Linked DNA regions of Pelodiscus sinensis. The protein of the gene in region 1 interacts with the protein of each later gene in a pairwise test. Links are inferred from orthologs where the notes say so. Each region holds a gene or a part of one and is shown on either strand. Other genes may lie near its edges. The genes, in order: KHDRBS2, hemoglobin subunit pi-like, HNRNPR and RNA-binding protein 3-like.

What was found.
Region 2: the proteins of KHDRBS2 (region 1) and hemoglobin subunit pi-like interact in binary tests that used the Homo sapiens proteins (3 or more experiments, as listed by UniProt). The two-hybrid records come from large-scale screens. The link is inferred for Pelodiscus sinensis from reciprocal best matches to the Homo sapiens genes KHDRBS2 and HBZ.
Region 3: the proteins of KHDRBS2 (region 1) and HNRNPR interact in binary tests that used the Homo sapiens proteins (3 or more experiments, as listed by UniProt). The link is inferred for Pelodiscus sinensis from reciprocal best matches to the Homo sapiens genes KHDRBS2 and HNRNPR.
Region 4: the proteins of KHDRBS2 (region 1) and RNA-binding protein 3-like interact in binary tests that used the Homo sapiens proteins (3 or more experiments, as listed by UniProt). The link is inferred for Pelodiscus sinensis from reciprocal best matches to the Homo sapiens genes KHDRBS2 and RBM3.

The regions. Positions count from the first base shown.
Region 1 is NC_134713.1:45,802,470-45,810,004, reverse strand, and holds the start of KHDRBS2 (KH domain-containing, RNA-binding, signal transduction-associated protein 2), read left to right. Parts: upstream 1-4,415; 5' UTR 4,416-5,183; coding exon 5,184-5,274; intron 5,275-7,535. UniProt on the Homo sapiens protein: RNA-binding protein that plays a role in the regulation of alternative splicing and influences mRNA splice site selection and exon inclusion. Binds both poly(A) and poly(U) homopolymers. Phosphorylation by PTK6 inhibits its RNA-binding ability.
Region 2 is NC_134726.1:4,665,612-4,673,169, forward strand, and holds hemoglobin subunit pi-like, read right to left. Parts: upstream 3,394-7,558; 5' UTR 3,329-3,393; coding exon 3,234-3,328; intron 1,623-3,233; coding exon 1,418-1,622; intron 685-1,417; coding exon 556-684; 3' UTR 426-555; downstream 1-425. UniProt on the Homo sapiens protein: The zeta chain is an alpha-type chain of mammalian embryonic hemoglobin.
Region 3 is NC_134735.1:23,170,175-23,177,603, reverse strand, and holds the start of HNRNPR (heterogeneous nuclear ribonucleoprotein R), read right to left. Parts: upstream 3,138-7,429; 5' UTR 3,068-3,137; coding exon 2,990-3,067; intron 1-2,989. UniProt on the Homo sapiens protein: Component of ribonucleosomes, which are complexes of at least 20 other different heterogeneous nuclear ribonucleoproteins (hnRNP). hnRNP play an important role in processing of precursor mRNA in the nucleus.
Region 4 is NW_027466045.1:272,897-281,164, forward strand, and holds the start of RNA-binding protein 3-like, read left to right. Parts: upstream 1-5,025; 5' UTR 5,026-5,176; intron 5,177-6,207; 5' UTR 6,208-6,217; coding exon 6,218-6,320; intron 6,321-6,642; coding exon 6,643-6,749; intron 6,750-6,831; coding exon 6,832-6,937; intron 6,938-7,027; coding exon 7,028-7,109; intron 7,110-7,725; coding exon 7,726-7,792; 3' UTR 7,793-7,793; intron 7,794-8,194; 3' UTR 8,195-8,268. UniProt on the Homo sapiens protein: Cold-inducible mRNA binding protein that enhances global protein synthesis at both physiological and mild hypothermic temperatures. Reduces the relative abundance of microRNAs, when overexpressed.

The DNA.
Region 1 (7,535 bases):
CAGTTCTGCCCCCCTCCCACTACAGAAAGAATATAGGTCCAGTGGAGGACAACCAAAATGATTAGGGGGATGGAGCACAAGACCTATGAGGAGAGGCTGAGGGATTTTAGTTTATTTAGTCTGAAGAAGAGAAGAGTGAGGGGGGATTTGATAGAAGCCTTCAACTTCTTGAAGAGAGTTTCCAAAGAAGCTGGAGAGATGCCGTTCTCAGTAATGACGGATGGCAGAGCAAGGATCAATGGTCTCAAGTTACAGTGAGGAAGGTCTAGGATGGATATTAGGAAAAACTATTTCACTTGCAGGATGGTGAAGCACTGGAGTGGATTACCTAGGGAAGTGGTGGAATCTCCATCCCTGGTGGTTTTTAAGTCCCGACTTGCCAAAGCCCTGGCTGGGATGATTTAGTTAGGTTTCAACCTGTTTGGGCAGGGGGCTAGACTCAATGACCTCCTGAGGTCTCTTTCAGCCCTATGATTCTGTGATTCATCAATACAGGAGAGAAATAAGATAGTAAATTGGTGCACTGGTGTTCAAATTATTAAACTATTGTCACTGATATTTTAGAGCCCCTGCTTCTTTCATAGCTGTTTTATTGTGATCTGTCCGGGTAAGTCTACACTACAGCGCTAATTCGAAGTAACTTAGTTCAAATTAGTTAATTCGAACTAAGCTAATTCGAACTAACGCGTCTAGAACTAAAAACTAGTTCGAATTAGCGTTTTGCTAATTCGAACTAGCATGTCCACATTGAGTGGACCCTGAACAGGGCTTAAGGATGGCCGGAAGCAGTGCCGGCAGGGCATCAGAGGAGGACTTAGAGCGTGGAGATGCTGTCTCAGGCTAGCCGAGGGCTGCGCTTAAAGGGACCCGACCCCCACCCCGGACAGACAGTTCTCAGGGGTGCCCTGCTTGAAAACCAGTCGTGGCTTGGAGTGCCCGGAGTGCCCACACTGGGCACATCACAGCACTCAGCCATCAGCCCGGCTGCACTTGCCGCAGGCTGCCATCCGGGGAGAGGGGGCAATTGAGGGGCTGCAGGAGAGCTTCCACCCCAGAAGCCCGCAGAGCCAGCCCAGTCCTCCCCATCGGGGGCTAGTACCCCATTCCTCCCTCACCTCCTTCCACTTACCCCTCCCTAGCCCCCCTTCCTGATGTACAAAATAAAGATAACGTTTCTTCCAACATTGACTCTGTCTTTATTGAACAAAACTGGGGGAGACTGGAAAAGGAGGTGGGAGAGGGGAAGAGAAAGGCTGGGAGATGGGAGGGCAACTAACATGATCAGGGGTTGGGAACAGGTCCCAGATGAAGAAAGGCTACAGAGACTGGGACTGTTCAGCTTAGAAAAGAGGAGATGGAGCGGGGACAGGATAGAGGTCTCTAAAAGCAGGGGTTGGGTGGAGAGGGTGCATTCAGAAAAGTTCTTCATGAGTTCCCGTAAAGAAGGACTAGAGGACACCAAAGGAAAGGACTGGGTAGCAGGCTTGAAACTAGTAAGAGAAAGTTGTTGTTCTTCCCAAAGCAAATAGTTAACCTTCGGAACTCCTTGCTGCAGGAGGCTGTGAAGGCTACAACTAGAACAGAGTTTAAAGGGAAGTGAGATCAAGTCATGGAGGTTGGGTCCATGGAGTAGTCTTAGCCAGGGGGTAGGAGTGGTGTCCCTGCCCAAAGTTTGTGGAAGACTGGAGAGGGATGGCACGAGACAAATGGCTTGATCACTGTCTTCGGTCCATCCCCTCCAGGGTCCCTAGTGTTGGCCGCTGTCGGCAGACAGGCTACTGGGCTAGATGGACCTTTGGTCTGACCCAGGATGGCCATTGTAAGCTCAGGGCTCAGGGTCGGGGGTCTCAGTGGACCCCCTTGATTATCATGCACACCTGCTCCTGGGTGGCCAGGCTGGCAGCTCTCCTGCCCTAGCTGGCCACTTTCCTGTGCCTACTGCGGAGATTGTGGACGAGGTCCAGGATGTCCGCACTAGCCCAGGAAGGTGCCCGGCTCTTGCGGTCCCGGGCAAGCTCCCGGGAGCCGCCAGCCTGGTCCCGGGAAGAGGGGGTGGGCTGGGGGAAATCGGGTGGCTGGCTCGAGCCGTGCCAGGTGCAGGGTCTGCTGGCTGGGTGCTGGCAGGCTTGCACCTGGCACGGGCACCGTAGCCAGCCCGTGCCCCTTTAAGGGGTCCGGGGCCGGGAGGGGGGCAGACGAGTTTCCCTGGTGTTGGCCAGAGTGGCCACCAGGGAAACCTGGGGAGGGCTAGCCTCCCACTAGTTCGAATTAAGGGGCTACACACCCCTTAATTCGAACTAGTAAGTTCGAACTAGGCTTAATCCTCGTAAAATGAGGTTTTCCTAGTTCGAACTAAGCGCTCCGCTAGTTCAATTTAAATTCGAACTAGCGGAGCGCTAGTGTAGCACCTATGAATGTTAGTTCGAACTAACGTCCGTTAGTTCGAACTAACATTGTAGTGTAGACATACCCTCCTTTATTAGACTTATTAAAAATAAAACAGAAAAATGCTTTGCCTGTTCTGAAACATCAAACCAAATACATGTAAAATATATGTTTTTATTTTAGTGGATATAGCAAACACTCAAGCTCCTAACTAGATAAGAAGTCATAACTCATGATTAAAATATCATCTGAAAAATGTATTTAATATCTGACAGACTTTCATGAAATATGTTTTAAATGAGATTTACTCTAAAATTTCCAGAAGACCCCAAGTGACTTAGCAGCTTAAGTATCATTGAAAGTTAATGTGACTTAAGCTGTCACATGCTTAAGTCACTTTTGAAAATGAAACGATGGATCATCTTATGCCTGGCCACTTTGCTGCAGAGAAATATGTATATAACCCTTTTCTGTACTCCCTATACGCAAGTGTTCTATGAATACAGTTCTTTCTATTGCACAAGTTCCTTAAATATATATACTCAAGTTTATTTTTTTGAAAATTGGAATTGTATTCAGAGAGGTATAAAAGTTCAAATGGTAACCATATCTAAGCTTTGGTTACCCTTCCATAAATTACATGTAAAAGGTAAAATTGGATGGCCAGCAAAACACAGCTAATCAGACTCCCAACAAAATTTACTCTGAAACAGCCCACTACCTATGTCACTCCTGCAGTGTGTCCTGAATACCAAATGACCAGGACTATTTCAGAGTGGGAAGAATTTAGGTTAGTGCTGAGTTCCCCTCTTTTACTATTCCTCCTTCTCTCTTGAATCAGAAGAATCCAGCATTAGCTTTTCCAGTGAATGTAGAGGTAGCAGTGTGGCAGGAGTAGAAACATGGTCTCTCAGTAGGATAGGACTAAGCCAACGTTAGTTAATTATATTTTGTTAAGGTCCAGACACCAGAGAAAAGAATAAAAACGATAATGATAATAAACGCAAGATTCATTCAAAAGCCTCTGGTATTATGGGTTTGGCCTGTGCTCCATCTATTTATCCTATTCTAAGCCATTTAAGGTCTTATATCTATATATATTGTGTGCCTTCATAGTTCAAATTTCTCGGTCATGGTTATTACAATGGCTCCTGAATCTGCTGGGATATGCTAATAGATTTACAGTTGTACTTTTACATTTGTGTCCTCTCTCACACCAAAACAGGATTAGTAGGTCCCTGGTGTTTGCCCACTTGATTGATAAAATATTCAAATGATAAAGCAAAAATAGAGAGCTATACCTAGAAACTGAACAAAAGAAGCAGGGCATAGCTAGGGGTGGAACTGAATGTGCTGTGGCCTGCCCGCCAGCTCCCCTGGCACTCTGTCCAAGGAGCAGCCAAGACTTACCCTTCCTGCTCGCTGCCCCCCATTCGTGACCACCCACCCGAAGTGAGGGTTCATCCAGGTGGGCCCTTCTGGCTGCTCTACTGAAAAGAAGATAGAAGAGTGCTGAGAAAATGTTCTTACGATGTAACCCCGGTTCAAATTGCCCCGGGAATCTTTGTCCATAAGTGAACATGCTTTGTCTGTAAGATCCATGGGCGTGGGGAAGGGAGGAGTGGGTAACTATAAACTCTAGACACTGTTTCCTGGAAATTCAACTCTCCTGGGAACAAAGCCCATTGTATTAGGCCTGTTGCAGCCCCTCTAACCGCATGGGAGCTTTAATTGTCGAAGGAGGAAGCTTCAAGCGCCGCTCTCAATGTAGCGTCGCCTTTTCCTTCCTCAGTGAGCCGCGGGACGTCTGCGGAGCATCGGGCCGCTGTGCTCAGATGCCGCGGCAGTCCCGGCTCTGCCCATATTGCGCCGGCAGTCTCCGGGCAACTGCTCCGTAGTCACCTAGTCCCTCCCGCTCCGGGGCTCTGGCCAGTCCAAGCTGGCCCAGGCGAAGTAGCTCCTTGGCACCTGCAAAAAGTTCCTGGGAGAGGAGGGCGGCCGGGGGCAACCAATGGCTCAGTCAAATTTCCCGCCTCTCCTGTGACTCCACACCCCACCCCCTCCCGGGGTGCGGCTAAAGGGCAGGCACAGGGCTGCCGTACATCCTCTCTCCTCCCCCCTGCTGAGGTTGGCAGCCTTCCCCTGGCTCCCGCAGAGGCGCCCCGCCTACCCCGGCGGGCAGTGCCTACTCCGGACTTCAAGGGCGCGGGCTGAAGGGTGTGAGGGTGGCTCAGGGAGTCTCGCTCCTCCCAGCCCCCGCCCCCTTAGCCCCCGCTTCTGGCTGCTGCTGCCCGGGCGCCTGGCCCAGGCTGCTCCATCCTCCCGCTGCTTCAGCACCTCGGCCAGCGAGCGGAGCCCGCGCACCCCTCCCGCCGCCTCTGCCAGCTCCGTGCCCCGCCAGTCAGCGGGCGAGCTGGGGGGCCGGAGCCAGCAGCAGCTCACCGCCGCCTTGCGGGTCTCCGCCCTCCAGCGCGCAGCCACCAATGAGCGAGGTGGGGAGGTGGGGGGCCCCTTCTTCCCGCCTCTCTAGTTAAGGCCGCGGGGACCGGGCTGTAGCTCAGTAGAAGGGGCAGAGGCAGGCGCGGAGCCAGCGGGGGCTGTGAGGGGCAGCACAGGGCAGGGCACCTCCGCTGGAGTTGGGGCCAGCCGCCTGCCAGCGGAGCGGAGGGAGCCCAGGTGCGCGGAGCGGGGGCGGGAATTAGACCACAGCCAGAGGCGGCCAAGCCACCACGCCACTGCAGCCAAGCAGCACCTAGGACAGCGGCGGCCGGTCCCAAGTGCAGAGCGGCAGCGGTACTATGGAGCAGGAGAAATATTTGCCCGAGCTGATGGCAGAGAAGGACAGCCTGGACCCGTCCTTTGTTCATGCAATGCGCCTCCTGGCTGAAGGTAAGACTTCGCTCCTCCTGCCGGGTGTCTTGCCTCTTGAACGCTGCCTTGCTGTGCGCTTAGCTAGGGGACGTGTGCTGCCACGGACAAGCAGCCGGGATCCTTGCACCCAGGCAAGGCATTCCGCACCTTAGCACAGGCATGCAGATGGTCCTCCCCCTCCCCTTTCGGAGGGACCCCCAACCTGCCTGATGGGAGAGATGCCAGCAGAGATTCCTGAGATCTGCCATAGGGATGAGGAATGACTAATCGGCTCAGGCATCGCAGGCAGTGCCATGAGCAAGAAAGTACGGCGTCCACAGAACTGTCCACTTCTGAAGTGGGAGAGCTGGGGAGGGAGGGTTCAAGTCAAATGTGATCCTCGAGAGCGAGTGTGTAAGAGCTATAGTCTGTATTTCGGCAGCCTTTCTCGAGTGCAGAGTTGCCCTATGAACTGGCCATTCACAGGTTTCTGTGGAAATGTTGAATACTAAAGAGGCAATCCGAATCTCATCGCTGACGATGAAACACTGTGGAAGATGTTATTCCCTCTCGTGTCTACTGTATAGGAAAATTATCAATGATCAGTTGCTTTGCAAAGTATGGATTGTGTTTTATATGTTTGTTGTATTAAGGCAGAGAACACAGTTAAATAGGGAGATGCATATTCCTCCCCCCCCCCATTAACAATAGTTCTTGGAGCTTGTTCTCCAATAGCTCCTACTAGCCACTGTTTGGAGTAACTTACCAAATGTATTTATCAAATATCACTTATGCTAATTATATTTATATGTAGTAAATGTCTATATTTTATTTTTCATTGCTGGAAATGTCTGTCTTCTTATGATTTTTCACTAAAAGGATTTATTTCATTGAACAAACGGAATTGGATAGATTTTTTTTAGGTAGGGCTTTCATGGTTCCTGATTTTATTTACACAAAGACAGATGCTAGATTCTCGTTATGGTCATTACCTCTTGTTTTCCATCTTTAAGTATTATGTTTGGCTTTAGATGATAACAGCCAAATCTCCTACTATATCTATAATGCAGCATTTTGTCCTTTTCTGTTTTGTACATTCACTGGATAGGGCATATCAGTTTCATGACATCATTTCATTAGGGACTTGATGCATTTTTCTTATGATTGTACAGTAATATAAAGAATTGTCTTCATACAAATTTATTCTTCATATATCATTAGTGCTTGTGATATAACTACATTTTATGCATTTTGAGGCAGATATACTACTTAAGAAGGAAGTCTTCAAAAACTTTATCTTTCTTACAGCACTATGTAGTTATTGACTATAGGCCTTATTGTGCGGGACTTCTAGTACAGAAGAAGTACAATTAGATATACCCCCTTCTTGCTTTCTGTTGCTTTTTCTCACATATTTTGTTGATTCTTTAAAATATTGTCTAAATTGAATACAAATGAAAATGAAAATAGTGATAATGAAGCATAAATCAAGATTCTATATTAAAATCTGAAATGAAACTAAGACAAAAGCTTGTATTGAAATCATTGCAATATTCAAAATATATACTACTCTACAATCTAAGTGAATAATTTTCTAAAGTTTCATGTGCCTTTATGCACATTCATAAGAATTTAAAACTTTTTATGCTAGTACTTAAAGCAACCCTTAGCTCAGCAGCCTTCATATTGTCTTTCTTAAATACATGTTTTATTGATTGAGAATAAAGTTACTGAGTCTAGATTTTCACAGAGTGCTTCTGTCCGATAATGGGAAGTCCAGCATAAAAAGTGACACACATTTAATATACTTATAATACCTATCATACTGCTCTCACAAACAATCACAGTAGTTTTTACAGCAGGCATACTTACTAATTTGCAGATGATGAACCAAAATTCCTTATTGCTGAAAGGGGCATATTTATTGCACTCTGCAATTTGATCTTTTCCCAGCAGGGGGAAGTATCTACTGAAAGAGTGTGTGTGAGAGCTATCATACAAAGTAAATTACTGAAAGTGCGCCAAGTATAGTCAAATAAAGAAATGTAAGTGTTATTTCGGGGTCCGTAGTTCACGCAAACATCACATTTCAGCCAATTGGTGAGACTGACTAAATTAATAGTTAATTGGTTTCTTTTGAGTATAGCTGGGGTTAAGTCTATCTGAATATTTTAAAAGATAAAGCTAAGCTATCTCTGAAATTTTTAAAGAATGCTAATGTAGGATTCACACCAGATACCTGATATGAACCTTCAAAACACCATCTGTTTAGTTTTTTAGAGAGGTATTTTAGATTTTTG
Region 2 (7,558 bases), on another chromosome or scaffold:
TGTCCCCCTGATACCCTCTCATCAGAGGCTGGCTTATTCCCTGAAGTAAAAGGGTTATGTCTTAAAATGGTGGGCTTTGGGGAGTCTATTTAATGTAGCTTCTCCATCAAGGAAGTGTCTAATTATCTGTGAATTTGGGCAAGCTCTGGCCTCAATGATACCTTGTGGCAATGAGTTCCAAAGGCTAATTGTGGGTGAAAAAATAGTTCTTGATTGATTTTAAATTTGCTGCCTTTCAGTTCAGTGTCCTCTGGTTCTTCTTCTATGATGAAAAAAGAGTAACTAGAAGTGATTAGGTGTTGTATGTGGATCTCGCTATCTGAGGAGCCCCCTTAGCATCTTGCAGGGAATGTCAGAACACCCTTCCCATTATGAACAACAATGTCCGGCTGGAGCCAGTGAATATTAAAGCACAGAGACAAGAGTGGCCAATTAGAATATTTATTGGCTTTTTGCTTAGGACAACACCCAGGTGTAGGGATTCATGAAGCGTGCATGATGAAGGGTGGGCATCCCACTCTGAGAGGCCTGGCCCCTGCTCTCCTAGGAGACAGTTTATCTATACTTCTCAGTCAGCACCGAAGAAATCTGGGACAGGAACTTGTCCAATGCAGCATGAACTTCCGGGGTGAAGTCGTTGGGAAAGTGGGCGGCCAGAGAGCACAGAATGCAATGGGAAAGCAGCTGCAAGAGAAAAGAGCAGGAGAAAATCACATGGAAAATCACATGCCTGAAATAACACACCTCTGCCTGCTGGGAGCCTGAAACACCAAGCTGGAGTCTCCTTGCCAGGTAGAGTCTCCTCCAGTGGGTATGAGTTACTGACTGAGAAATCCACCTTTTAGACCAGAGAGAAGTCGTTGCTTCACACTGCTCCTCTTCCTTGTCCTGGGACTATAAAGTAACCAGGAATAATCCTTGCACATACAGAAAGCTTTTCATGCAGGAGCCTGAGTCCTTGGCCAAGCACAGTCAGTATCATTCTCCCCATTTTTGATGGGGGTACAAAGATGTGATGCGATCTGTCTAAGATCAGTGGCTCACAGACCTTTGTTGTGGGCACGAGGGACTGAACCGGTAACCTTAGGGGTGAAAGCCATGTGCTTCTACAGCATGAGCTAAAAGCCAACTGGCTCTTGGCTAAGACTGTACAGCAGATTTCACTCTCCCTTGCCAAAGATCTCAGTGCATGGCAGCTAGGTCCATCCATGGCTAATAGCCAAGCTGGGCAGGGGTGGTGTCCCTAACCTCTGTTTGCCAGAAACTGGGAATGAGCGACGTGGGGTGGATCCTTTGACAATTGCCCATTCTGTTCATTTCTCCTGGGGCACCTAGCATTGGCTACTGCAGGAAGACAGGATACTGGGCTAGACGGAGCTTTGGTCTGACCCGTGTGGCCCTTCTTATGTTCACTCACCTTGAAGTTCACTGGGTCAACTCGGAGGATGTAGGCATGCAGCTCACTGAGTGTGGCCAAGGCACCTGTAATGTTATCGATGTTCTTAGTAGCCTCCCCAATAGCACTCAGGACCTTGGAGCCATGGCCATGAAGCTGAGCAGAACCTTGGCTGAGATCGAAATGAGGGAAATAGGTCTTGGTTTGGGGGAAGCCTGAAAAAAGCCTGGAAGAGAACATTAGAAATGACTTCAGTAATGGAAATTGCACCAAGCAGCTGATACAGCCCTGAGTCAGGGAGGCCAGGACCCTGGATCGACACTTGCTCCTGCTCTTCTCGTCCAAAACACTGGAACTGGGAAAAGAATGGATTAGAGAAATGCTCTCTAGACTGTTAGTATTTGACTGTACCCTGTGCTGAAATGGGGCTGGAATGGTCAAACGTTACAGGCCAGCAGTTCTACAGGAGCGGTTTGTAACCTTATTTCTTTGTTTTAGGAAAAGAGTGATAGACCAAATTCATCCCTGGTGTTTACAGTTGTAAATCAATGGAGTCTCACCAAGAAGAATTCTTGGCTAAGCCATGTTTAGATTTACACGCTGAAAAGTATTTTACAAGCATTTTCAACTTACTTTCTTCTTTGAGCTAAATAACCTAATACTTCCCCACAGCCATCCTCATCCTCTGTAGTATATTTTCTGCAGCAGAACCAAATTGCATTTCCCAATGATAGCAGAATCTATAGTGAATACTCTCTATAGTCAGATATTTCATGTCCAGAATCTTTGCTTCAATCAGTATAAGTGAAGCTTACATAGCCAAAAAGGGCCATGAAAAGATTTAAAATGAACTGCTTGAATATCACAAACCTGGGACTAGTCTTCACCTGAAGAAACCAAACATTGTTCCCAGGTTCTTTCCCTCCCTTTGTATCAGCTTGTTTAGACAATTAGCTGTGGATGGATTTTTACTGGAAGGAGTACAGAGCTCTTGGGCCGTAAGGTGGGTTACCCCCAAACTTCAGCTGGTTCATTTGAAATGGGATGTTTGGGGAAAATGTCCCCTTTACTTAACATACATTTCACATAATACTTCAAATCCATTAGTCCTGGCTCTACCAATAAAAGGCTGGCTAGTTGTATTTACAGCAAACCTTCCGTGACCCTACAAGCCTATGTGGTTTACAGTGATATGCACTTCATGGGGGTGTCTACTTCTCCTGCTAATCTGTTACACATCAAATGGAATGTTGAGACATGTTCCAAGCATCCTGCTTGAATACCCCATCACAAGCACTGCCCTGCACTTGCCACTAGAAATTGCATCATTCACATAATAACCCCCTCCCACGTGCCTTTTGTTTTCATGTTCAGCTCATACCAGTGATAACCTTTGCACTTGGCATTATCTGGGTATCAGTGGCCATGTGGAGTCACTCTCCGGAGCTCCGCCCAGCTGGCATCCATGGAAAGTGAATAAAACAGAATATTCTTTCTTTTGGGGTTTGAAATCATCCCGCAGGATTGGACAGCAGGGATATTATTCTCTGTTAAACTCCATAGAGTGTTAGAGTCATTTCTATAGAGCGCTGCTGTATTCTACAGGACTTTCCATGAGGGTTATTCTCCAGGAAAAGCTGAGGCCCTCAATCACCAATGTTTGAAGAATACCCTTAAAATCTGCCCTCTCAAGAGCTTCATTGTCTCTGATTTCCCCAGGCTTCTGAACTACAGACCCACATTCACCCCTGGCACAAACTTTACCCCCGAGTGTGTCCACCAGGGTGAAATCTGAGACAGGCCCACAGAATCTAAGCAAAGATAGCACATCACTTACCTCTCCAGTGACTCGGCCCCAATGGCATTAGCATGGGTAGCGACCTTTTCCCAAATGGCAACCACTGCCGCCTTCTCAGCTTGAGTCAGAGTCATCGTTGCTGGGGGGTTGTGAGATCAGCCTCCTTGCAATGGTCACTCGGACAGGCCTGTGCTGATCATCCTCGCAGCCCCCTTATAAAGGGGACGGAGAGAGCAGAACTTGGCAGCTGTCCATTGCCATTGGTCACTTCTGGGGCCCACCCCGTGAGGAAGGGCTCTCTTATCTCTCTGGAAAACAATCCTTGTCCTGCCCTGGACTGTTCACTGGGAGGCGTTATCATTTTCTCACATCTTAACGCAGCAGTGTGGTGGCCTGGGGAAATGAACCGGCTGCAGGGGCAGAGATGAGCAAACAGACAATACGGAGAATCGTAATGACAAGGTGGAAAACATCAGGCCTAAGAGCAAGGAGGGAATCATCCACGTGTTTTACAGATGTGCTAACAGGCTCAGAGAGAAACGAATGCAATGACAGGCCACTGCTTTTCAGGGAATACATGGGGACAGAGCAGGGTGTGCTAAGTGTAGACTGTGGATGAAATCCTGCCTGCACTGAAGTCAATGGGAGTTAACCCTGTATTGCTCCTGCCAAGTATTATTCACAAGTAATTTACCATTACTACATAGCACTAGCTACAAAAAATGACACCACTTCAGATTTAAAAACATCTCATGGAAGCAGCGGTATTTTGTATAAACACACACAAACACACACTCACTCGCATACACATCTTGCTGGGTTGAGTAGGGTTCTATGTGTGTGGGGGGGGCATATGTAAACCACGCATCCAGGGTGGTTCACTGTCCCATGTAGTGGCACTCAGATCACTTAGAACAAGAGGTAAGAACAAGGGAGTGCTACAGCTTAAGCTGAGAGCCAGCTGGCTTTGTTGCTCAAGCTGTAAAGGCTCCTATGCTGAGGTCTCAGGTTCAAGTCTGCCTGGTGGTAGTTATATATATATATGCAAAATATTATGATGAATTAACTACACATCTCAAGGCCTCTGGACCACACTACCTGCATATGAGTAGTCCTGTGGCACCTTAGAGACTAACAAAAATATATACAGTGAAGCCTTTGTTATCTGGCACTCTGGTAACCAGAAAACTTTGTTAACCAGCATTGCCCCTAGCCACAATACTGTCACATCACATCTTCAGGTGCACAGGCCTGGCTTGGTTTACCATGATTGGCTTAACAATTTTTTATTTAAGAGGTACTAATCATCTTTAACTCAAAATAGAAATGTGAGACCAACTGCCTCACACTATTAAAAACTTACGTTTTATTATTATTGTCCATTGGTTTTCCTAGGTTGATGAGACCCTCAGATAAATGGAATTTTTAGATAACCAGATCCTAATCCCCAAGCATGCTGGATAACACAGGTTTTACTGTCCATAGCATCATGGGCTTCTTCAGATGAGCTTGAGTGGAGGACAAAAAATCATTGGTGTAAAGGAATCTCTCTAGAGCTCATGGCTGGAGTACTTAATTCTTCAGGTCTTTCATTCCTCGATGTATAATTCTGACAATTGTTTATCTATATGGTGGGATAGCAGAGAAGGCCGGGAGCCTATTGTGCTCCAGCTGTACTAAAACACAGGAGGACATGAAGAGCTCATGGTCTAAACACATAGAAATAAGCGAGGTACGGGGGTGAGAGGAGGAGGGTGACTGAACAAGGGGATGGCTGGCTTATGTCTAGATTCACTAGGCAGCCAAGAGAGGCTGGGAGAACTGCCAGGTCCTGCAGTTAGACACAGTTTCAAAGAACTGCCCCTCCAGAGAAGAAAGCTTGTGTGTTTGCAAGAAGGAACCCCTTGTCCCTGTGCCTGCAACACTGGCTACAGCAGACCCATCTGCCACCAAGATTAAGGCCATGTCTACACTACAGCGTTATTTTGAAATATCTTATTTCGAAATAGTTATTTCGAAATAAGTTATTTTGAAATAACACGTCTACACACAAAATACATTTCAAAATAGCGTTTTGCTATTTCGAAATAGCACGTCTACACTGAGTGGACGCTGAATCGCATTTAAGGCCTGCCAGAACCAGGTCCGGCAGGGCATCAGATCAAGAGTTACTTTGTATGGCTGCTGACTGAGGCTATCTGAGGCCTGTGCTTAAAGGGACCCTCCCCCCCACCCAGACAGCTGGTTCTCAGGTTTCCCTGCTTGCTTACCTACCTCAATGAGGGAGAGCAAAGCATTTTGTCCCTGTATGCTCTGGTTGCCCTCACCCGGGACACCACAGCACTTTGCAACATGGAGCCAGAGCTGCTCCTGGGCACTCTGGTGCTTCACTTGGACACATTGCTGCGAGCCTGGCTGCACTTTCTGCAGGCTGCCATCCGGGAGGTCTATCAGGGGGCTGTCAGTATCCAGGAGGCCCTGCGGGAGAGCTTCCATTCTGAGGAGCACTAAGAGCCTCCCTGGTCTGCCCCACTGGGGGTTTGTGCCTCGTTCCTCCCTCACGTCCTTCCACTTACCCCTCCCTAACCCCCCTTCCTGATGTCCAATAAAATACATGTATTTTCATGAACACAAACTTTCTTTATTTAACAAGACTGGGGAAAGGAGGCTGGAGAGGTGAGAAGAGAGGGTGGGAGAGGGGAAGGGGAAACCAGGGAGGAGGGAGCTGGAAGGGGGAAGCAAGGGGAAGAAGGGGGAGGAGAAGCTCAGGGCTCAGGGTTGGGGGTCTCGCCGGACCAACTTGATTTTCATGCGAACCTGCTCCTGGGTTTTCATGTGGCCTTTGGTGGCCAGGCTGGCAGCTATCCTGCCATAGACGGCCGCATTCCTCCATCTAGTGTGGAGATCATGGATGTTGGGGGCATCCCCCCCAAACTTGAAGAAGGTCCATGATCTCTACCCTGGACCAGGAAGGCGCCCGCCTTCTCTGGGCCCTGGCAGGCCCCTGGGAGCTGGCAGACTGCTCCTGGGGAGTGGTGGAGAGCTGGCTGCCTGTGGCTTGCTGGTTCATGTTTTGGGGCCACTGGGTCGGGGCAGTGACTGCTGGCTCTGGGCTGGCAGGCTTGGAGCTGGCACAGGCACTGTGGCCAGAGTCTACCCCTTTAAGGACTCCAGGGAGGAGGGGAGGAAGAGGAGTGTTCTTAGTTGAGTGTACTTGGGGTTGCCTGTTAAATGGCTTTATTACCACTTGAATGACTCTTTCCCAGGTTCCAGGTTCTGCTAATAAGTCTGGCAGGCCTTCTCGCTTTTAAGTTAACTGGATCCTCTAAGAAGGAAGCAAAGCCACAGAACGGAGATAGGACGAGGTGGGTAGATATTAAGACCCAGTGGTGCCCCACATTTTCAGATGCCCTGATCTGCTGCGTATTTTGCGCATGGGTAAGGATGGCCCTGCTAGCTTCCATGCACCACTAATTCATGGACTCCTGCCACTGGCGAAGCAGTAAGCCCTGTGCCTATGCTGTGGCAAGCATTGGTCCTCAGGCCTCTGTAGGAGCATGGGAGGCTCTGCTACTCCCGGACAGCAGTAATAGATTAGCAGGTGTCTCCAGATAATGGTGAGGCAGGCTGCCCAGTAGGAGGTTTCTCTCTGGGAGCCCCACCAACTGGGACTAGTGCAGTGAAGGCTGGTGGCTTGAGTGTTTCCATTTTGATGAGGCTGCAGTTGACTCTTGACTCCCTTGCCTATTGGAATGGACATTTCCTCCAACTGGTCTCTGTCTCTGGGATTTTGCAGTAAGTCTGTGCCCTTTATGATGGCCATATTTGGGGCTCGGATGGCATTTTTCTCTGGGTCAGAGAGATCCAACTGGATGCTCTAACCACTGGACTACAGACCCATGCTAGCTTGTGTGCACTCATCCTTCCAGGGTGGCCCAGGGCTACTTCTAAAAAAGGAATAAGGGATCTTTCGGAAAAGGCTTTATTTTCCAAAAGATCCCCGTCTAGACTGGCGCTTTTTTCCGGCAAAGCTCCGAGCCGGAAAAAAGCGGCAGCCATGTTTATGCAAATGAAGTGGGGGGATTTAAATCCCCGCTTCATTTGCAATTGCGATGTGTCTAATTTGCATCCCTTTTATGGAAAAGGGATGCAGTCTAGACACAGCCAATGGGGGCAGAGAGGAGAAGGCTTTGCATGCTCCCCTGCCTAGGGTTGCCAGATGGTTTAACTAAAAATACCGAATCCCCCTACCCCCCCCCCCCCAAAAAAAAACAGGGGAAAAATTGTTGGGAAAAAAAAGGGAGACCAAAGTCGTTGAGAGGAAAAAAAAAAAAAAAGGACCTCGAGAGTTATTAAGCAAAAAC
Region 3 (7,429 bases), on another chromosome or scaffold:
TGTGTTACTCCCCCAGCCCTCTCCCGCCCCTGAACTCCCTCTCATACCCCTACCCCACACTCTCTCCTTCCACCAAACGCTCTTCCAGACCCTACCTTCCTCACCCCATCCTTCACCCCACTTCCCCCCCCAAGATACTGCATCCCTATCACACTCACTGGCAGCCCTGTCCCACACACTGGGACAGGGCTTCATTTTTTTCCCCACCCCAGAGCCGAAGGGGGTCCACAAAATCCACTAACTGCAGAACTCCAGAAAAGTAAATCTGGCCTATGGGAAGCCCTGAACCTCAGTACCTGACCCTTCCCCTCAGGAGGCTGGTGTGCCAGGTGAGGTGTCTCAGTTGGGGTCAACATCAGTGAAGGTTGGGGGGTTTGGGAGGAGTTTTTTTTTGCTTCTCACTTGTGTGATCCCCAACTGATTTTTCTGTGGGTCAGTGACTTCCAACCCAAAAGGTTCCTCACCCCTGCTATAAAGAAAGAAAACACTGAAACCTGTGTGTTGGACATAAACTTCATTTTAAATAAAGTAAAACATTGATAAACTAACACAAGCAAGTTAAAAAGCTTAATCTGTTTAATAATTTAAATGAAACCATTCTCCCCAGCTGCAGCACTAGCAAAATGGCTTGGGTACAATTATGTAATTAACAGTGAATTTCCATTAGCAACTGGTACTCCAGGGAAAGATTTGCATTGACTCAGGTGGTCCACGGGGAGCCAAGTGGAAAGCCCCTTCCCCCAGAGAGAGGAGCACAGCCCAGGTCAGGAGAGTTAAATTTTGGCCCACCACTTCAGAAGGGTTGCTGACCCTGGTGTAGTCAATCAACTAGCAAAAGCTTATAGGTCAATGCTATAGACTATATACATTTCTCTCTCTCACACACACACCCACCCACCCCACACAGCCCAGACCAGTTCCTGCTCACACCAGGTCCAGCTCAGTCCCCACTGTATCAGAGACAGCAACGCAGAGCAACAGGTAGCCAGTCCACAAGGAGAGCTGAATCAGAGGCAGTGGTATGGACTGGCAAGCAGCTCCTCCCAAGTGGGGCCAGAGCATACTGGCAGTGGGCCCCAGCCCCGGTGACTACAGGGCTGCCAGCCCTAGGGACTACAGAATAGTTGAGTAACTTATGAAAATTCACAAGGTTATTCAACTATTCAATTAACCAATATTTAACATCCCTACTCTGAACTTCATTTTACTAGCCTCTCACTCCACCTCCAAATGGGTCAGCCAGCTCAAGTTACAAATAGGGTGACACTCAAATTAGGGGGTTGGATGTGGAGGAAATTCAAGTTAGTGACAATACTTGAGTTACCACTCATGAACTCTGCCGTGAAGACATGTGCTAACATGTATGAATTTTACCTTCCAGAAGGTCACTTCAGTTCTCTATCTGTAATAGTAATTTATCTACCACTCAGTATTAATGACAGAATAAATCCATTAACATGTCTGGTGTACCCAAATATTACTGAGATTCACATCATAACTAGGGATGTGAATAGCTAAAGGGTTAAATGGTTACCCAGTAAGCATCACCCTTAACCAGTAATGCTTACCCGGTAACAGTCAACAGGTACCAACCAGGAGCAGCTTAGCCTCTATCAGAGGGCTGCTCAACTCCTGTGGAGTTCCCCACTGGGTCAGCCCCCCTGCCTACCTTCTCTTTAATGGATTAAATATTGTGTTAGTAGGATGTTTAACCATTTAACCAAATGGGATTTTACATCCCTAAATAATTAACAGCAGACAGACGATTGAGTAGGGATATAAAATACCCAAAAAGAACAGCCACTTTTAGAATAAAGAATGCTATTAAGTAGAATTTTGCTAGTCAGCAAACCTTATAAATTTACACAGAAATCAAGTCAATTCACAGAAAGGTTTAAAAAACCCACTAATTACTGACACTTTCTTACTCCTACAGAATACACCATGTATGACACTAATAATTGTTCTGCAGTATGTCAAACAGAAAAATGTGTGGCCATCAATGATACCCACAGCACAAAAGTATCAAAGCTGTTAAAAATGTTTTTGCCCAGTAATGGGAGAAAAGACAAAAAGAAGATACAAAGAAAAGTCTAAACAACTTCCTCTAAATAAGCCTATGCTGAACCATAGGTCAAGTAAGGCTACATTCACAGGGTAATGCATAACATGGCCACTAAAACACAGTAATTAAATCCACTTTAGAAATGTGTATAAGTATTTAATAAAAAATTAAATCCAATTTAGATCCTGTATGTCTAATAAAAACGTTAGTGGATAGAAGTTTGCTAAAGTTCAGCACAGAAAATGCAATTTCATATTAGCGAGATTCTTTCATCTTTCTAGCCCAAAGCAAGGCGTACCACCTAGAACCAAACACAAAACGCGACCTAACCGCTATTAAACTCGGGCAGTGTAAGTTTTAGCTTCCTAAAGCCGAAGCTAGCGAAGCACATCCTGGGCGGCTTTACAGCACGGGGGTCGCCTGCTTACAGCAATGCAGGCGGGTCAGCACGAAGGCTGGAGCCTCGGTACTCCCAGCCCAGCCGCGCACGCGGTGTTGTGCCCAGCGGCCACGGGCTGTGCCTCCAGGCAGCTTTGAGCGGCCACGCGCGGCCCGCGCGAGGAAGGGCGGGGGGGGGGGGCTGCGCTGGACGCGCGGCAGACACAATGCCAGGCGGGCGCCAGCCACATGCAGGAGCCGGCCCACGTGCGGAGCGGAGCGGGCCGCGGGCAGCGCACGGCCCCAAGCGGCGCCCCGTGGCCTCGGGCCCGGCTGGCGCTCTACGAGGCGGCCCACGCGCTGCCGCCCAACCCCGAGCGCCATCCCCAGCCCAAACCAGGCCCCGCGGCGCCTCCGGAGCGCGGCCTAGTCCCGGCCGCCAGGGCCCAGCGCCCCGCCTCGGCCGAGCGGGGCTGGCTACGCACCCGCGGCGGGCCAGCTCTCGGCCAGCCCCCCACCCCCCGGCGGCGGCCCCGCGGCACTCACCGGAGCGCGGCCTACGCGGCGCGGCTGGGGCCTAAGCAGCGACTGCAAATGGCGCGCGCGCGCCTCCTTTCGCCTCATGGACGGCGGCGCGACCCCGGCAAAACGCGGGGTTTCCCAGAACTGCTTCCAGGGCTCCCTGCATTAGCCAATCAGCGTATTGGGAGCCAGACGAGCAGCAAGGCGGAACCTATTAGCGATCGGAGGCGAGACACGATTATTCTAGGGGACCAATTAGAGAAGACAGAGGCCGACGCGCCCGCAGAGCTAGGGCCCGAGATCGGAAATTTAAAGAGGCAGCTGCGCCTCGCTGAACAAAGGGAGGGGCCGCCTCCACCGCTGGGCGGGGCCAGGGCTGTGAAGAGCCGCTCGCGCTCGCGCCCGCGCCCTACGGTTCTCACAGGTACTGAGCCAGGGCACCGCCCCGGGCTGGAGGGCAGGGCAAGGTGCGGGGAGCATGGAGGAGAGGGGTGGGGGCGGGGCAAGGTGCGGGGGGGTTCGGGGTGGGGGCAGGGCAAGGTGCGGGGAGCATGGAGGGGTTTGGGGTGGGGGGCAGGGCAAGGTGCGGGGGGGTTTGGGGTGGGGGCAGGGCAAGGTGTGGGGGGCATGGAGGGGTGGGGGCAGGGCAAGGGGTGGGGGGCATAGAGGGGTGGGGGGCAGGGCAAGGGGTGGGAGGCATGGAGGGGTTCAGGGTAGGGGGCAGGGCAAGGTGTGGGGGGTATGGAGGGGTTTGGGGTGGGGGGCAGGGCAAGGTGCGGGGGGGTTCGGGGTGGGGGCAGGGCACGGTGTGGGGGGCATGGAGGGGTGGGGGCAGGGCACGGTGTGGGGGGCATGGAGGGGTTTGGGGTGGGGGACAGGGCAAGGTGCGGGGGGTTCGGGGTGGGGGCAGGGCACGGTGTGGGGGGCATGGAGGGGTGGGGGCAGGGCAAGGTGTGGGGGGCATGGAGGGGTTCGGGGTGGGGGGCAGGGCAAGGTGCGGGGGGTTCGGGGTGGGGGCAGGGCACGGTGTGGGGGGCATGGAGGGGTGGGGGCAGGGCAAGGTGCGGGGAGCATGGAGAGGTTTGGGGTGGGGGGCAGGGCAAGGTGCGGGGGGGTTCGGGGTGGGGGCAGGGCACGGTGTGGGGGGCATGGAGGGGTGGGGGCAGGGCAAGGTGCGGGGAGCATGGAGAGGTTTGGGGTGGGGGCAGGGCAAGGTGCGGGGGGGTTCGGGGTGGGGGCAGGGCACGGTGGGGGGGGCATGGAGGGGTGGGGGCAGGGCAAGGTGTGGGGGGCATGGAGGGGTTTGGGGTGGGGGGCAGGGCAAGGTGCGGGGGGGTTTGGGGTGGGGGCAGGGCACGGTGTGGGGGGCATGGAGGGGTGGGGGGCAGGGCAAGTTGTGGGGGGCATGGAGGGGTGGGGGCAGGGCAAGGTGTGGAATGCATGGAGGGGTTCAGGGTAGGGGGCAGGGCAAGGTGTGGGGGGCATGGAGGGGTTCAGGGTAGGGGGCAGGGCAAGGTGTGGGGAGCATAGAGGGGTTTGGAGTGGGGGCAGGGCAAGGTGTGGGGGGTTTGGAGTGGGGGCAGGGCAAGGTGTGGGGGCATGGAGGGGTTCGGGGTGGGGGGCAGGGCAAGGGGTGGGGGGCATGGAGGAGCTCAGGGTAGGGGGCAGGGCAAGGTGTGGGGGGCATGGAGGGGTTCTGGGTGGGGGCAGGGCAAGGTGTGGGGGTATGGAGGGGCTCAGGGCAGGTGGGAGCTAGGAGCTGAGAGTGCAGCCACTGTAGCCCACCTGTCAGATCCCCTCAGCTGGCCGAGCTGGCTGGCCACCTGAGCTGTGGGTTTATTATCGTGAGTACTGATTCCAGCCCAGAAGGCCTGGAACCTTGTGCCCCTCCCCCCAGTTCTCTGGTAGTGGGGACAGGATTGGGCTCCTGTGAGGCAGAAGGGGTGGGATGAGCACCCAACATAAGAATCTTACAGTGTCCGGCAGCAGCTAGAGTCCTGCCCCCAGCTAGCCACTCTCCTACTGCACACCACCTTACTTTCACTTCTAGTATCTTGTTTGCAACACTCTTGTTAATGCATCCCAGAATCATGTTTGCCTTTTTTTTTCTTTTTTGCAACAACGTTACACTACTTATACACATTAAGGCAGGGATGAGCAAGAGGCAGCTAGCCAGCGGGATCCAGTGGCCACCTTGCCAGCACCCTTACTACAGAGCAGTTGCAGCTGCTTTAAACAGTGGTCTGCTAATTGATATGCAATCTGGGCAGGGAGTAGGGATGTTAAAAAGTGTCTAATCAGATAGTTGACAAGTTGTTTAGTTGATAAAGGGGGGAAACTGCAGAGTTGCAGCAACCTTGCTGCAGCTCTGCCTTTTAAATCTATTAAGTGTTATCAGGCTGTTAGACATTTAGGCTATGTCTACACTGGCATGATCTTGCGCAAGAACTCTTTTGTGGAAGAATACTTGTGCAAAAACTCTTGCAGAAGAGAGCGTCTACACTGGCATATGCGTTTGCGCAAGAGCATCCATGCCAGTGTAGACACTCTCTTGTGCAAGAAGGCTCTGATGGCCATTTTAACCATAGGGCTTTCTTGTGCAAAAAATTCATGTTGCCTGTCTACACTGGCCTCTTGCGCAAGAACAGTTGCACAAGAGGGCTTATTCCTAAGCGGGAGCATCAGAGTTCTTGCACAAGAAGCCCTGATTTCATACATTAGAACGTCAGTGTATTTGCGCAGTGTAGATAGGCAGCAATTTTTTGCGCAAAAGCAGCTGCTGCTTTACCACATCTTCACAGTGGTTAGTTGATAGGAGCAAATGCTCTCCTTGACTTCCCGTGCTCCTTGCAAATAGAGGAGTACCCGTGCTGGCCAGGGGTACCCTCACCATTTGATTTAGTGGGTTTTATTAGACCTGCTAAATGGAATACCAGAAGATTGATCTCCGCTGTGGCAACTGGAGATGTAACCTCAATCTTCAGGGAAAATTGTTTTTAAAAAATGAAACTTCTGCCAAAACGCTAGCATGCTATGGTCTTTGAAGTTCACAAAACAATCCCTTCTTGCTTACATATTATCTTCACAGCTTTAGGATGCCAAGCAAATCTGTGAATCAGCTAAAATAGTCATGTTCTTGTTTCAAATATTAATAAATATTTTTCTGGTACTGGAGCATAAAAAACATTTACTTAGTCTTATACAATATGTCTGGGATGTCAGCTCTTCAGCTGACTGATACTGCACACACCATAGAACAGTAAAATTAAGTAACAGAGCAAAACAGACTGCAAACAAACAAGTGGCAATACCATGAATGGTGAGTGAAGCTGCTGCTTGGGGAAGCAAGCTCCCCAGCCTGTGGCCTCTTTCATACGCCACATCTTCTGTCTCAAGCCCCACTATGTCCATCCTCTCCTCCTACGGATGTTAAATATTGGCTAATCAAATATTCGATTAACCTCATGAATTCTTATCAATTACTCAACTATTGTATAGTCCCCAGAGATGGGGCTGGCAGCCAATGCATTCCAGCCCCACTCTCAAGGAGCCCCCTGCCTCTCCACCTTCCATCAGAGGCAGCAGCGCAAGGTGCCAGTTGGGAGCTGGTCCGCAAGGGGAGCCAGTTTAAAAACCAGCTCCTCTCATGGACAAGGTGCCTGTTGCCCCACGCAACTGCTTCTGATACAGAGGCAGTAGCATGGGGTGGCAGCAGCCTCTGTCCAGTGTGGGGCTGAGCTCCTGGACCTGGAGAGAGCCAGATCTGAGCAGGGCTGCAGATCAGCCTGCTAAAAAATTTACAGGCAGGAGGGAAAGGAAATGCATGTAGTCCATGGCATTAACCTATAAGCTGTTTCTTATTGGTTAATTGACTACACTACTACATCCCTATCTCCTTCCTATCAAATCTCTGAACCCAAATGTAGAAAATGGCATTGCAGGGCCCCACTCTTCTGCAGTTTCTTGTCAGATAGTGAAGACTAGACATGCAGAAGGTAATAGAAAACATGGAAATGGCTGAGGTGCTTAATGACTTTTATTTTGAATTTCACCAAGGAGGTTGGTGGTGACTGGATGCCTAACATACTGAATGCTAGTGGAAATTGTAGCCATGTAGTTAAAACGTAGTTTTAAGCTAAATAATGTGCCTCAGTGTACTTTGCCAGCTACCCTTTCTAAAAGCAGAAAGGACCTTTACCTTACTTTTGGTAAAGGTTCACCAGCCCAAATATTGTAACTAAAGCTCATTCCAAGGTAGGGATAGTGTGACAGACCGGACTAGGCTCAGAGCAAATTGCTCAAATTTGGGGCTCCTTACAGCTCCCAGACTGGAGACCTTCCCAAATAGGCCACAAACCAGTCCCACGGAGCGCTTCAGCTGCCTGCCTGGCCAGCCAGAAGCCTCACGAGCAAAACCCCTCTGACTCCTCAGCAATATCTGTGCCCCAGATGGCCCTGGACCCC
Region 4 (8,268 bases), on another chromosome or scaffold:
AGCGGGGGGGGGGCTGGGAGGTCTGGATTCTCTCCCCGGCTCTGTGAGGGGAGTGGGGGCTAGTGGTTAGAGCGGGGGGGGGGCTGGGAGGTCTGGATTGTCTCCCCGGCTCTGTGAGGGGAGTGGGGGCTAGTGGTTAGAGCGGGGGGGGGCTGGGAGGTCTGGATTGTCTCCCCGGCTCTGTGAGGGGAGTGGGGGCTAGTGGTTAGAGCGGGGGGGGGCTGGGAGGTCTGGATTGTCTCCCCGGCTCTGTGAGGGGAGTGGGGGCTAGTGGTTAGAGCGGGGGGGGGCTGGGAGGTCTGGATTGTCTCCCCGGCTCTGTGAGGGGAGTGGGGGCTAGTGGTTAGAGCGGGGGGGGGGCTGGGAGCTGGGGCCGTGGCATCCGGTCACGGCCGCGTTAATGAAAATGCTGTTGGCACCCAGGCTCCGGGCTCAGGTTCCTGCCCCGCCCCACCCCCAGACCCAGACTAATTAGCCTCCCGGGTGCATTGTGTCCCCGGGGCTCTGCGTTCCCACGCTCTCAGGTTCGGCCGCCGGGGGGGAGGGGCGATCAGGTTCCCCCCATGTAATCCTGGGGCTCACAGCCGGGAATTGGCAGTGGGCTCTGCCCTGAGGGGGGGGCGCGGGGACCTGGGGGGTGCAGGAAACTCCCCTCTAGCCTGCAAGGGGCTGCCGGAGTGGCAGGGCGACAGGGGGAGCGCCCCCTGCAGCAGCAGTAGTAGGGCTTGCACCCTTCCTGAGCCACCAGGGGGCAGAGCCACAGGGGCCCGCAGAGCTCGGGGGAGCCCAGGGCAGGGCTGGCAGGGGCTGTGGGTTGGGGGGAGGGGCTCGGGCAGAAATCCTGACCCCCCCCACTGTCTCCCTCTCAGACGCTATCAGCCCCCCCTTCCGGAAGAGATGCCTGGCCTGGAGGGGGGGCCCCCGGCCGCTCCCCCTGCCCTGCTCTTTCCCACCCCCACGCGCCGGCGCCATCGCACCAGCTTCATGCCGGAGCAGCTGGAGCAGCTGGAGGCCGCCTTTGCCAAGAACCACTATCCGGACATCTACGTCCGGGAGGAGCTGGCCCGGGCCACGCGGCTCAACGAGGCCCGGATCCAGGTACCCAGGGGGCTCCGGGGCGGGCGCTCTCCCCTGGCACTCAGGCCTGGCCGCTGGCGGGCGTTCTGTGTGGGTGTTTCCCAGCTGCCCCACCCCAGAGGTGGCTGCACTCCGCAGCGGGCGAGGCATCGCTGGGGTCCCAGCCGGGCGCACGCCTGTGAGGGGCTGGGGAGCGCAGCTGGGGCTGGACGGCGTCTTTTTCTCTTTCCAGGTGTGGTTCCAGAACCGCCGGGCCAAGCAGCGGAAGCACGAACGGGCCTTGCTGAAGCCCAGCCCCCCGCGTGGCCTCTCTGTGGGGCCCGTACCTGCTCCGTCACCCCGGCCGTACCAGTACACCCCGCCCCTGGCCCCCCACCCCCACCTTCCCCGCTTCCCTGCCTCCTACCCCCCAGGACTCCCACCTCCCCCTGCCCAGTTCCCCTGTCCCCACCCCCCGCCCCCTCCCTGTGCCCCCGAGGACTGGTACAGCTCCCTGCGCGCTCTGACCTCCCCCACTGCCCCCCCGACCCCCGTCATCTCCCTCAGCCTGGACCCAGCCGCCCACTGGAACTGAGGCCCACGAGGCGCTGGGCCACAGCCTGGAACAATCATAAAGGCGTTGAAAGGCCTCTGACTCCATCTCCTTCCTTCCAGCACCATCGGACAGCCCTCCGGGCACTGAGATGCAGGGGCAGGGCAGCTGGGGAACAGCCACATACAACACAGCCCAGGGGGAGGGCTCCCCTAGCTCTGAGATGCAGCCACCTCTGGGGCAGGGCAGCTGGGGAACAGCCACATACAACACAGCCCAGGGGGAGGGCTCCCCTAGCTCTGAGATGCAGCCACCTCTGGGGCAGGGCAGCTGGGGAACAGCCACATACAACACAGCCCAGGGGGAGGGCTCCCCTAGCTCTGAGATGCAGCCACCTCTGGGGCAGGGCAGCTGGGGAACAGCCACATACAACACAGCCCAAGGGGAGGGCTCCCCTAGCTTTGAAATGCAGCCACCTCTGGGGCAGGGCAGCTGGGGAACAGCCGACACAGAACACCACATGGGGCTGGCTCAGCCAGCGCGGAGAGGCAGACAATTCTAGGGCAGGGCAGCTGGGGAACCCCCACATATAACACTGCATGGGGATGGCTTATCCGGTGCGGAGATAAGCCATCACCTTTTGTTATTAAATAATTCAATATGGGCCAGCACGGGGTCCCAGCCTGTACCATGGTGTTTCCTCTGCGCTTTAAATGGGTTAATTTCCTAACAGAGAGAAAAATGGTGAGTGAAATAAAATCGTACGACTGGAAGGGACCAGCAAGTGAGCCAGGACCCTGCACAGTCTAGTTCAGTGTTTCTCAACCTTTTTTGTTATAAAGTACCCCTTGAAAAAATTATAAGTACCCCTTTTTCAAAAAACGTGTAAGTTCCCCCAGTACCTACAGTTTTCAGAGACACATTTGTTTAAACAACTCCATCGCAGTCGGGCGGGTGATGACTTTTTTGGGTGTAAAAAGTACAAAAATAATAAAGCGCTGTCAAACGTCAAACAAAAATGCCGTTTTCTCCACCTTTCAGTTGTGTTGACGGACCCCCCAGACATCTCTCAAGTACCCCGGAGGGTACTCGTAGCGCTGGCTGAGAAACGCTGCTCTAGAGCACGCCTGGACGTCTGTCCAACCTGCTCTTCCATATCTCCAGGGCCGGAGATTCCACAGCCCCTCTAGGCAATTGACCAGTGTTTCACCCCTGGCAGGCGGGAAGTTTTTCCTTATGTCCAAACCTCCCTGGCTGCAGTTGAAGCCCCATTGCTGCTTGTCCCGTCCTCAGTGGCCAAGGGGAACAATTTTTCTCCCTCCTCCTCGCGACACCCTTTAACATACCTGAAAACTGCTTCATGTCCCCCCTCAGTCTTCTCCTTTCCAAACCAAACAAGCCCAATTCTTTGTCTGCCCGCCCAGCTCCTGTTCCCTAGACCGGCCATCAGTCTTGCTGCTCTTCTCTGGACCCTCTCCAATGTCTCCACATCTTCCTTGAAATGTGGTACCCAGAACTGGCCACAATCCCCCAGCGGAGGCCTGACCAGCGCAGAGCAGACCAGAATGACGTCCCGCATCTGGCTCACAATACTCCTGTGCACAGATCCTAGAATGATGTTTGCTTTTATTACAACAGTGTCACACTGTTGGCTCATATTTAGCGTGTGGTCCACTATGACCCCTAGATCCCTTTCTGCCAGACTCCTTCCTAGACAGTCGCTTCCCGTTCTGTGCGTGTGGCACGGATTGGTCCTTCCTAAGTGGAGCCCTTTGCATTGGTCCTTATTAAACTTCATCCTCTTGACCTCCGACCGTCTCCCCTGCTTGTTCAGATCACTTTGATTTAGAACCCTGTCCTCCAAAGCACTTGCAGCAAATTGGGGGGGGGGGGCGGGGGAGGGAAACGAGGCCATAAAATATAAGTGCAAATGGGGAGTTTTCTAGGAAAAGTTTATCAGATCATCGAAAAGCCCCGGTTCCAGAAAGAAAGATGGGGAGCCACATGCTCTGTGAGTGGGGGCCGAGGGCACCAACTGGAAAGATTAAAAGCCGTGTGGCACAAGTGGGAGAGGACCAAGAGGGACGGCAATTACACAGCACTAGCAGGTGCGGCCGGGCGTTGACCGGGCAAAGTCACTTTGCGTCGCTTGCACTTCCAGGAAAGTTCCCGGCGCGGGAGAGAGGGCCTAGAATTGTTTTATTCACGCGCTCGTGACAGGGAACTCGGGAAGGGTTTGAAATCAGGAGGATTTCCGCGTCGGGCGCGATTCGGTGAACGGGGCAGAGGCCAGGCACAGGCAGAACCGTGTCCCAGCCCCATGGCGGGTCCGTAAGGAGTGGGAGTTATTTCGTGTCGTGTGTCGTCGCCCGCGTTCTCTCTGCACGGGCGCGAGGGCGGCGCCGGCGCCCTGGTGTTCGGCTGGCGAGGGCGGCGCCGGCGCCCTGGTGTTCGGCTGGCGAGGGCGGCGCCGGCGCCCTGGTGTTCGGCTGGCGAGGGCGGCGCCGGCGCCCTGGTGTTCGGCTGGCGAGGGCGGCGCCGGCGCCCTGGTGTTCGGCTGGCGAGGGCGGCGCCGGCGCCCTGGTGTTCGGCTGGCGAGGGCGGCGCCGGCGCCCTGGTGTTCGGCTGGCGAGGGCGGCGCCGGCGCCCTGGTGTTCGGCTGGCGAGGGCGGCGCCGGCGCCCTGGTGTTCGGCTGGCGAGCGGTGCTCTCGGCGGGATGCTGAGCGAGCGCTGGGACTTTCTTCCCGACACAAACCGAAAATCAGGATTCCCCCGCCGCCCGTTCCCGCAGGGATTGGCCCCCCCCGTGTGTTCCGGGGTAAAACGCGTAGTCACCCCCCCATTCCGGGGGAAAATGTGGGGATTTCCCTTTCCTTGGGGGTTAAATGCAGGGATTCGGCCCCCCCCCCCCCCCCCGTGGCGGGTAAAACGCGGGAATTGCCCCCCCCCGTGGCGGGTAAAACGCGGGAATTGCCCCCCCCCCCGTGGCGGGGATTTCAGGTCATGGAGGGGGCGGGGCATTTATGCAAATTAATTAATTATTACAATTCACTGTTAATTAAGCCTCACGCCTGCGCCCCTCCCCCCGGATCAGGGCAGCAGCGCGGGGGGGGGGTGAGACGGAAGGACCCGGCTGCGAGCGGGGGCGGGGCTCAGGGGCGGCCTTTAGAGCAGGGGGCGGGGCTCAAAGTCCGCCGGGCCCCGGATGTTCCATGGGCGGGGCTCCGAGAGGCCAGGAGCCGGACGCCGCTGGGTGGGGGAAGTCCCCGGATGTGCTTCATGCGCAGGCGGCCTGGGCCGGGCTTGGCGGGAAAAGGCGGGGCGCGGCGGCAGTTGGGCAGGACCCGGATGGGCGCCGCGTGCCAACGTCCCGGATGGGCCAGCTTGGGGCTGGCCCCGCCCTTCTCTGCCCTCCGCTCCGCGCGCGTGCGCGTCTCGTCACTGCGTCCAATGGGAGCGCCGAGCCGAGCGTCACGTGAGCGGTGGGCGGGGCCGCTATATAAGGCTCGAGCGGGCGGCACCTCGGCCGCCTTTTCAGCAGCTCCAGCCCGGGAAGGACTCGCCTGGTGAGTGGTGGCGCGGGACGTGGTGGCGGGTGCTCGCCCTGGCGCAGAGGGAGTCGAGGGATTGTGGGAGGGCCGTGGCGGCCTAAAGCGCGCATGCGCGGCCGACGGGACCCTGATGAAACGTTGGTGGCCGGTGCAGGAGGGGGATTCTGTGGCGAAGGGGCGGCGCACGGAAGAGGCCTTAGGGGCGCGCATGCGCGGGGGCGGTCTCGGAACGTTGGCGGCCAAGCGGGGCCTCTGGTGGGAACCGGACTGCTGCGCGCATGCGCGGTGGTCGCCTCGCTGGCGTTCTCTCCGCGGGGCTCGCGCCGGCTCTGCGGGAGGGGGCGCCTTGGAACCCTGGGGCGGGCGGCGTTCCATCCGGCGCGGGCCTGGCCACGTGATCGCCCGCCGCCATCTCTTCTGCGCGGGACGCAAGATGGCGGCCGCTGGGGGCGGGGTTGGGCTCCTGGGCCCTTGCGCCCTCCATTGGGGAGGGGGTGAAGAGCACGTGGGCCCCCTAAGGCCGGGGGGGGGGGGCGAGTTCCCTGGGCTGGGAGAGCAGCCGGGCCTGTTTCATGGGGGGGCCTGCAGCAGCCCTGAGCTCTGGGCAGCGGGTCTGGGACCCTCGCAGGGTCACCCCGAGAGCGGCTGTCCTGGGGCACTTCCTCCCACCCGGGCCTTGGAAGGAGGGGGGCGGGGGACGTGTTGAGGCGCTTTAGTATCCATCCCGATGATGATCCAATCCCATTTCCTTGGGAGAAGGCTGCGGTAGGGGGCTGAGGGTTGCAGGCTCCATAAGGCCCTCAGGGAGAAAGTACTTTCTGATGCTCAGTTGCTCCCTGCCCCTGGGAGGCAATGGGGAGGGGGGAAGCTACCTGGGGCCCCTCGGAACTTGTAGGGAGTGCTGAAGCTCTCACTCTCAGGGGAGAATCCTCTGCTGCAGTGTCTACGTCTCTTCTTTCCCTCCTTCCATGCGGGGCTTGACTCCGGGCTTGAGAGGGGAAGTCATGTCATCTGTTCTTCCTAACCACCTTGCATCTCCTTCCCAGACTCCTCGCCATGTCTTCTGAAGAAGGAAAACTCTTTGTTGGGGGTCTGAATTTTGAGACCGACGAACAAGGCCTGGAGCAGCATTTTGGCTCCTTTGGCCCCATCTCTGAGGGTAAGGATTCAGTTATGCCTGCACACCTGGTCCCTATGACTGTGAGGGGAATTGGTTTTGCAAGACCTCATTGCAGTAGGTGCTTAGGCCTCTGCCTTAATATCAGCTGCCTAGTAAACTGGCACAGCTCTTTGCCATGTGGTATCAGCAGATATCTTACTACAAAGATACTGCAGTGTGGTCAGGCTGTGGGGTGCATCTAGGAGCAGCATCAAGTAATTGACCAGTGCATGAGGCCTGTGCTACATAAGGGTGATTTGTAGACACAGGTCAATTCCAAGTGCAAGTTGGCTCAATTGCCCTTTATTTCTTCCCCTTCTAGTGGTGGTAATTAAGGACAAAGAGACCCAGAGGTCCAGAGGCTTTGGCTTCATCACCTTTGCCAACCCAGAACATGCATCGGATGCCATGAGAGCTATGAACGGAGAGGTGAGTCTTACTGCAGTGATATCTTACTGCAGGCTGCTGCTTAACCTGTTCCCTTTCCTAAACATGTCTTGTTTCGCTGCAGTCCGTGGATGGGCGTCAAATCAGAGTTGACCACGCTGGGAAATCTTCCCGTGGATCCAGAGGTGGCTCATTTGGAGGCAGGGGACGAGGCCGTGGCTACTCCAGAGGTGAGTCTAGCAGCCCTGCTGTTCTCAATCTGCAAGTCCCTGTCCTTTGGGAGTAGGAGCACTAATGTCTTTTTACCCTGTGTGCTGTAGGAGGTGGAGACAGAAACTACGGTGGCGGCCGCTATGACAACCGAAGTGGCGGCTATGGCGGGTCCCGGGACTACGGTGGCAGGTAACTCTTAATGAGACTCCAGGAGCCCAATTGATGAAGCTTAACACAGAATGTTGAGGGGTGACTTGAGCTTAGTCTGCAAGCACCTACGTGCAGATCAGTACTTGGATATTAGGCTTGCCTTGCTCAATTGCAGAGCGCTAATGTCATCCAGCTACTGGAAGCTGAAGCTAGAAAAATTCAAGTAATAAGGCACGTGTTCTTTAAGTGAGAGAGATGATCTGTATTGGAATTGAGCAAGAGTTGTGGGTGATGTTCCCTCACTTTTTTCCGTCCATGTGCAGAATAAAATTTGTGTGCCCTGGGGATGTGGCTGTGCACCATTAGAAAGGCATGCTGCTGCCTGTGGGTGCTGTGCTAATCCCTTGGGTGGCCAAGTGGCCACCCAAGCACTTGGCTTACAGGAAACACTGGCTTGGGGGGAGGGGGGGATTTTTTTTGTCCCTGCTACATTTGAATTCAACATTAGGCAGTTCATTTTTTAAAAGTCTTAGGTTTCTGCTTCTACTCATCTTGTCTGCCCTGTCCTGTGGGGGTCTGACTTGATCAGTTTTCCATTGCCCTTAGAATTGAGGGCGTTGGAGTGAATGTAATAAGAGTTGTGCTTTGCTTTCAGGAATCAGGGAGGATATAATGACCGCTACTCCTCTGGAGGCAGTTACAGAGACAACTATGACAACTAAGGTAGGTGGAGCTGAGAGAATGAAATACAGCACTTCTCTTGATTAGCAGGTGCACTTAAAACCTTTGCAACGCACCATCTTGTGCTGAGCAGTGGCCATAATCGAGGATTAGTAGCTGGGACTCGTCTCTTTGTCCGCCTTTAACAAGCCTGACTGAGTCTTATTGCCAGGCCTTGGTTCCGTTAACCCTGGTCGATAGCTAGCATGAAATGCATGTGGAGGCTTAGAATTCCATTTAACACAAGTGACCGCCATCCAGCGACTAGATAACTGGGGGAGGGGGAGTCCTGGAGATTCCTAGCCTCACAGAGCCCCAAAAACAGTCTTAGAAGATGGTGAAATGCTACAAAAGTGTCGGTATGCTTCAGTGCCTTTACGATTGTACCTACTTCTTGTCCTCAGCTCGCAACGAGTAAAAACCCTTCCTGACTCAAGATCGTCCTTCCAATGGCCGTATTTATAAAGAGTTTTGGAGC